Linked DNA regions of Nothobranchius furzeri. The protein of the gene in region 2 interacts with the protein of the main gene of each other region in a biochemical or structural test. Links are inferred from orthologs where the notes say so. Each region holds a gene or a part of one and is shown on either strand. Other genes may lie near its edges.

The links.
Region 1: the proteins of nedd4a (region 2) and fgfr1a form a complex in vitro, tested with the Homo sapiens proteins (2 studies listed by BioGRID and IntAct, with this or other methods). The link is inferred for Nothobranchius furzeri from reciprocal best matches to the Homo sapiens genes NEDD4 and FGFR1.

What each region holds. Positions count from the first base shown.
Region 1 is NC_091757.1:34,228,859-34,232,510, reverse strand, and holds part of fgfr1a (fibroblast growth factor receptor 1-A), read right to left. Parts: intron 3,512-3,652; coding exon 3,275-3,511; intron 2,899-3,274; coding exon 2,809-2,898; intron 901-2,808; coding exon 728-900; intron 1-727. UniProt on the Homo sapiens protein: Tyrosine-protein kinase that acts as a cell-surface receptor for fibroblast growth factors and plays an essential role in the regulation of embryonic development, cell proliferation, differentiation and migration.
Region 2 is NC_091749.1:60,023,893-60,028,280, reverse strand, and holds the start of nedd4a (E3 ubiquitin-protein ligase NEDD4), read right to left. Parts: upstream 2,944-4,388; 5' UTR 2,737-2,943; coding exon 1,447-2,736; intron 1-1,446. UniProt on the Homo sapiens protein: E3 ubiquitin-protein ligase which accepts ubiquitin from an E2 ubiquitin-conjugating enzyme in the form of a thioester and then directly transfers the ubiquitin to targeted substrates. Specifically ubiquitinates 'Lys-63' in target proteins.

The DNA.
Region 1 (3,652 bases), on a different chromosome or scaffold from region 2:
CCTGTGAGAAAATAATCACTGAATGTAATTTCCTTAAGTTAGAAGCGGGTTAACCTGGTTCCAACACTTTTAATCCCTTAAATCTGTAATCAATAACAAATAAAGTGTAGAATTAAAGTTTATTCCAGTCCCTAAAAATCAAATTAGTTGAATATATACAATTGTAACATTTAGAGCCTTTACACAACAGCATAAAGAAATCCATAAAAGATCCAACCCATCAGGTAAGACTAGAATCGAGGTAATAGTCCTATCCATCTTTATTTCATTTCAACCCTCACAAATTTAAATACAGGCTGCCGGCAAACAGGAAGAAATTTAGACAGAGTAATCACATTACCTTCACGAATACAGGAGGTAAATTTACTACTGCATGGATGTAATTACGGAAAAGATGATCAGTGTCACCCAGGAAGAGGACAGCGAGCTGCTTTGCTTCACCTAAACAGATGGCTAGGACTGCCGACCTAAAGGTATAACTGTAGCACAATATTCCTTCTGATAGCATAGGGTTTCAAACAGCATTGTGTCTCAAGTCAACTGTGAAACTTGTCTCTCCTATACACCCGCAGAAAGTGCTTTACTCCAGGGGAGGAGCTGTGAGCTAATGTGGAGATATCAGACTCTTCATCTTGGTAGTGAAACATCCCAGAATTAAAAATAGAAGGTAAAACAGTTGGAAGTGTCAATAGGAGGAAAAGATGATCAACGCTAATTTCTTATTTACCTTGAAGCCCCCGATGCGATGGTCTCTCTTAAACTCCTTTCCGTTCTTATACCATTTCAGAGTGGGAGTTGGGTTGCCGCTGGCCTGACATCGAAACTTCACTGTCTTACTGGCAGGAACAGCGTGAAGCTTCTTCTCCATTTTTTCTGGATGAGCCCACTGCGGGGCCATTGCTATTCACAAGAGCAAAATACATGCTTTAAATGAAGGGAATTTAAAACATTTAGAATTTTTAACTAAAGAATTATCTGGTTAAAAAGAAACAAAAAGTGGTCTTAGGAAAACAAAAATTTCTTGCAGACTGCCCACAACCTTAGTGGTGGGAATTAAAACCCTGATTGTTTCAGATTTCCACTCATCTGAACAAATCACCTTAAATTTAATTAAGGACACTCTCTGCCTGTAAAATATTTGTAAGAATTATTTGGGCCATTTAAAGCTAAAAATTTACATTTATTTTCTTTTTTTTTGTCATTTTTGGAAAAGCAGTGACTGATTTGAAAGGGACATTAGATACAGAGTATGCAGTGGGTACAGAAAGTATTCAGGCTTGTCAATTTTTCAAACTTAAATTGCCGCCATTTGCTAAATCAATTAAATTCATTTTTGTCATTAATGTCCACGCAGCAACCCATGTTGACAGAAAAACACTGAATGTTAGAAATTTATGCAGATTTATTAAAAAAGACAAACTGAAGTATCACATGGTCCTTAGTATTCAGACCCTTTGCTCAGTATTTGGCAGAAGCACCCTTATGAGCTAATGCAGCAATGATCTTAGTAAAGATGCAACAGGTTTCTTACACCTGGATTTGGGGATCCTCTCCACTTCTGTCAGGTTGGATGGCGAACGTTGGTGGACAGCCATTTTTAGGTCTCTCTAGAGATGCTCAATTGAGTTTTAGTCGGGGCAAGTGATGAGCAGTGCCTGGTTTTCTCCACACACCACCACTTATAAGTAAGGGCAAAAGTTCTATCTTGGTCTCCTCAGACCAGAGAATCTTATTTCTCATCATCTCAGGGCCCTTCAGGTGTCTTTTAGCAAGTGCTTCCATTTAAGGATTATGGAGGCCACTGTGCTCTTAGGAACTTTAGGTGCAGCAGAGATATTTTGTAACCTTGGCCAGATCTGGGCCTTGCCACAATTCTGTCTCTGCGCTCTTCAGGCATTGTGAGCTGTAAGGTCTTGTATAGACAGGTGTGTGTCTTTCCTAATCAAGTCCAATCAGGGTAATGAACACAGGTGGATTCCAATGAAGGTGTACCATCTCAAGGATGATCAGAAGAAATGGAAAGCACCCGAGGTAAATATACGAGTGTCACTGCAAAAGGTCTGAATACTTAGGACCATGTGATATCAGTTTTTCTTGTTTAATAACTCTGCAGAAATTTCTGTCAATATGGGGTGCTGTGTGTACATTAATAATGAAAAAAATTATTTAATTGATTTTAGCAAGTGAATGCAATATAACAAAGTGAATGTTGACAGGGGCCTGAATACTTTCTGTACCCACTGTATCAGATAAAACCAAAATGCCAAGTATAAACTAGACCACAACCGAATGCATTCAAAATCACAGTCATCACAAAAACATTTCAAGTTTAAAAGCTTGGCAGTTCTTTTTAATTAAAAACAAACACTTTAATTAAAAACTCCAGCTTCAAAAAAGTCATTTGTGGAGTGTAAATTTCATTGAGAGATAAGTCGGGCAACAAACTCAAGGTCGACATGCTTTTCATGCTTGGCAGCTACTGGATTCTTTGTGGGCTGAGCGGGAAGTAGCAAGAAGATGAGAAAGCCAAACTGTTTTAATTACACTATAGACAAGTTGGGGCTCATCCAAGGTTAACCACGATTAATCACCACAGGAACATTAATCATGTAAGAGCCGTCACAGAGGCAGTGGAGAAGGTCTGAATCTGAGTGAAATAATTAGCCCGGTTGTGACCCACACACACGGCACGCCTATAATCGAATTATAAAGCTCTGAAATCACTGGCTGTTCCCAACAATTACTCACAATCCTTCTTGGGTGAGTCAATAATCAGCAATGGTAGTATATGGAGATCTGACCACTTACGCATCAGCTTCTGACTGGCCAACTGCTTGTTTTCTTCTGATGAAGACTCCTCTTCATCGTCATCATCCTCAGATGATGCCAATATATCAACTAGTGGGCAGAAAAGCATTTTGGGAACTCAACTTTATGTACATTCAGGTTCACCAGTGATGCAACATTAAAGGACAAGAGGTCTTGAAGTTATAACAAAAAAAAAAAGAAAAAAAAAGACAACACTAAAAATTCACTTCATTTGTCAGATTTGTGAAAATAAACCTATTTTGAATCTTGCAAAAAGAATCATTCCTACCTTGGAAGTTATTTGCAACATAAGACGAGTAAATGAGTATTTATGACCTGCTTATTAAAATGCAGCCTAACTACTAAAATAAACAGGAAATATTCAATCGTGCATCTCTAACAAAATCAGAAGCACAGCAAGCAAGAATTACACATGAAAACATTTTACAGTTTTGTGTTTTTGTACCTGACACATTAAAGAACACACTGTGGTTGCCAAAGGTGGTGCATCCATACAAGCCAGAGTCTGTCAGCTCCACGGCCTCGATCTCCAGCTGACCGTTGTGGATGTGGGCGTGTTCTCCATCCACAAGAGCAGCATGGTCTTTGGTCCAGTTCACAGTATGGATGGAGTCTTTGGGAGAGCAGCTCAGATACAGGCGATTCCCAAGAAACAGGGTGAACAGCTCTGCTTCCACAGGGACTACAAAGGAAGCAAGTTACTGGTTACTGACTTCCTTACAGCCCACACCACTTAACCTTGATGATGGTTTTAACCACCAGCACAAAAGCCATGAAAGCACACCAGCATTACACTAGAAGCTCCATTACTTCTTTAAAACAT
Region 2 (4,388 bases):
AAGCTAGAAAACCGTAATAGACTTTAACTCCACAGAGTTTTGGCTAGCAGCTATGAATGTAACTGAACTACAGTAGCTCTGCATGGACAAGACGTCAAAAACTATAAGCACAAAAGACTTCAATAAACGGGACACATTTCTTCCCTGCAAATAAATTTTCACAGGTGATGCCAATACCTATGCGACTTCAAGGGATGTGCTCCTGGCTGCAAAGCATTGCACCTTCGAATACAAGATTTTGTCTTGGCTTGTGAGTGTTTATGGATGTGTAGACAAATAAACTTGTTGATATGATATGTAGATACATATGTAGATACATAAACTTGTTTATATTCAGTACAAGTTACATTTTTTTTCTGCTTCCGTTAGTTGAAAAATATGAGAAAAACCCCTTGAGAAAATAATCGTGAATTCAATCACAATTGCAGTATTGAAGAAAACATCGCAATTAAGATTGTTTTCCAAAATCGTTCAGCCCTAGTAAAAGGATATGAAAACAAACCTTTGCAGATTTAAAAAGTCTTAAGTGGACCCTCTTTGACAACCTGCTAAACGCAGGAAGAGACTGACAGCTGATATTTCACAAACATTGCTTGGTGGGGGGACCCACAGGGATGGTAGCACGCCACCCGTTTACTTGGAAACGAGCACACACACACACACACACATGTACGCAGATAGCCGACATGACTGTGCACCACTCTAGTATCATGCTGTTAAATTTGAATCCACAGGTTTTGGGCAGTGCTACAGACCAGCAGACTATCCGGAGTCAGGGGGAATATTTCAGAGGCACCTTATTTATATCGGCATGGGGCACTGCGCTTCCCAACTCTATAAATAGCCATGGTAAATACTTAACCTGATCACTTATAGTGCTAACAGAATAATAAAAGTGGAAAACTCTACTGAAATTGTGTTTTCACACTGATGAATGCTGGTATTCACAAGATGGAGAACCTGTCTTTCTAATTTACACATTTCTTGGTATCCAATATGCAGATGGATTTACTGTAATGTAACTGAACACCTCTGAATGTTTGTCCACACACAGCTTGTTAAATACATGACTTAAAGTTAAAGGGCTTCTCAGTTACTAGAAGTCTTGTAACCAGTCTAATGCTAAAGTCAAAGCAAAAACAGTTTAAGACTTTAGGGTGACATTATTCCAGTGTACTGGAACTTAGAAATTTTCATTGATGAAAACAACCAATCAGTTAAAAGCTGCAAGTTTACAACAAACAATTAATCAAGCGGTGTTTATTTATACTACTCATTAGAAACTCTCGATATGTCTGAACATTGATGCAGGAGAGGCTGAACCAATGACGGAGTGGAATCTACTCAAACTTGTTTGACAACAGTGGCAGCAGGTCTAGAGTGCTGACAAAAGGCTACTAGGTGATCAATATAAAGCCTCTAAAGAGTTAGAAATGTCATACTCACCTTGTCATTTTGAACTGAACCCTTTACTGCATTACTTTCTTTGTGATTCTTAACATCTGTAACAGAGCTTCGCAACCTTCCGGGGTAGCATGGGGATAAATGAATGTGCACATGTGGGGAGCGAGGGCTGCAGAGCTCGGGGTTAGAAACGTGGCATGAAATTCCAGTGTTAGGGTAGGGCACCTCGAGGGAAAAGCTCCTCTGTATGGCACGATGCTTTTCACCAAGCCCGATTTGATCTTTTCCAGACAAACCGCTTTTATCGTTTTTCTCTGATGGCTTGGATGAAGAAAACAAACAAGCAGAGGTACTGCGATACAGTTTTCTGTGATTGATGTTTTCCCTTTGAGATAGGTGAACTTGGTGGTGAGCTTCGTTGGCTGCAACCATTTCCACAACTCCCTTGGTAGATACTGTTGGTTTCTGGTGGGCAAAATGCAGCAGCACGCTGCTAGAGTGAAGATTAGGTCTGTCTGAGGCTGACGGAAGCTCCATCAACGCGCTATTGCCTTCTGATTTGCATTTTGTTCCATCCTGTAGAGGAATATTAAAGTGGACCATGTGTTTCATGTCCCTAAGTTCAGATGAGCAGCTTCGTTTTGATGTTTGGTGTCCACTTGCTACAGTGGAGCTCGCCCCTACTTTCTCTTGGGAGAAATCACTGAAAGACGTCTGAAGATGTGACTGATTAGTACCCTTTGGCAGTGGGTAAGCAAACGGAGTCACAGCACATCCTGGGGAAGCAGGTGGAGTGCTACATGGGCTCTTCGGAATAATAATCAGTGAGGAGCATCGTCGCAGCGGGACCTTGGACTTGCGACAAAGCAGAGTCCTCTCCTGGATTGTCCTGTGCTTTTCTGGAAGCTCTGGCTCAAAGATGCTGCTGCTGCTACAGTACCCCGCATCGCTGGCCATGCTGCTGTTGCATGAACCTCCGTCAGAGCCGGTACCTGCTCCAACTTCACAAGCCCCTGGTTCTCCATCTTCTAAACTGCAATCCAGTTTTCCACCGAGTTTCCCACAGGGCTGCAGCGCAATTTGCAAAACGCTCTTCTTATTACACCCTCCAGCGTGAACCCTGGGTATGAACACTGAAGAGCACTGACTGCTGGCAACGTCTGGTGACAGAGGAGTCACCTTCAAGTGAACAGAGCTGTGCGCCAGATTCTCCGCTGGGCCATGAGCCGACAGACTGACTCCACTCTCTTCACCTTGGCTGCTGAGGCTTTCCGACAGGGGGTCCGTGTTGCTTCTCCTTGACGCAAAATGCAAACGGAGCTGATGTGACATTTGTTCAACTCACTAATCCCTGTAGGGCTGGCGAGACGTACATGATCAAACTTGCTGGTGGAAAAAAAAAACGAGAGCAAACGCAACAGCTCCATGCGCTGTGATCACAATCATTAGTAGCTGCGCATTGCCAAAATAGCTCTGGTGACAAGCTACATTCCTCTCCAGGCTGATCTCAGCTTTTAGTCAGAGCAGGCCAGTGGTTCTGTTTGGAGACATGACCCAAACACATGACCTTTCAAACCGAACCATTAGCCCCTTTAAAATTCCTCGGCCCAATAAAGAAGAACAAAGCTACTCTAAAGATAATTGGAAAACCTTTTCCTCAGCTTTGCATTCTAATAAAAGCCTAGCGTAACTCGACTGTGCCTCCAAAAAAAAAAACAGACAAATTAGCATTTTTCTTCTGAAAATAAAGAAAAACAAACAAAAGCATGACAGTCCAACGTGCTGCATTTTAGACTGAAGCTCTGGTAAAGTGTCACATCTGCGTTGGCCCATTCGCTCAGGACTCCTGCTGCTGCTATGCTACTAATGTTTCTGCTGCTCTGTGCCCCACAAATAGTTTTACCCATTGCTATTGAATTACAGGAAATCAAACGAGTGAATGTCAACAAAATTCTGCATCAAACCAAGGAGCAGGTTGCAAAAGCACATTTCAGACAGTAAATCACAGAGCTCATTAGGATAACACAAGAGCTCCTTTTAGTGTTTTAGCAGTGACTTTAAATATTTCCTGCAGGGAACAGGACAGCTGCTGCCTAATGAGAAAAACGTGAGGTTTTAAGAAAAAATAAATGTCATGAAACTGGTTATCTGATGCCTCATGTAACAGTCAATGCTGCTCTTATTACTTCTCCATAGATGTTGACAGTTTAATTTATTAACAGTGAGGCTGCCTGACCTATTTCAGGGCATTACTTTGCTTCCAAAGTATAATAATGGAAGTCACGGCCGGGATAAGGACATGACTCACTGCAGGACGCTGTGGAACTCCTAACCTATTTTTTAAACCAACAGAACCGTGTGACAGTAATGCAATGGCCATACAATATCAAATGCTTATATAGAATGACGTCATGCGGCAATAATACAGAGACACGTCCCTTAAGAACTCCATGAGTTTGGTATCAAAGTGAACAAAAACAAAGGCGGTATTTAATCAACTTTTCAGAGAACCAGTCTGCTGTGTAGTCACTACAAGCTGAGTCAGAGAGGTGTGGTTCGAGTAAAGACTGGAAAAATCAATCAGCAGGTGCAGCAGGTGGATGAACTAGTTTCTTAAGCTGTGTTTATTTACTTTTAGGTATTTAACCAACCTCTCAGTCACTGTGTAACAGTTACTGTTTGTATGCAGCATCTAATCTGGAATATGCTACATCGATGGTTTAGTTCTTGAATGTTTTTAAAACAGTTCAAGTTTTTAATCCTCTACAGTACAGACTATTTTGAACAATTTAGGGGAAAATTCTACTAATTTAATAATAAACAACAGGTTAAAAGAGTGAGAAGGCAATTTGTAAAAGTCCAGTTTGTACATCAATGTTCTCAGTTTGGTTCCATTTCCGAGTGGCTGAAGGAGCTGCTTGATCTGTGTTGATCTTTGTTCTACAGCAAATCTTTTCCTTATTACTACTATGTAAAGATTTTTA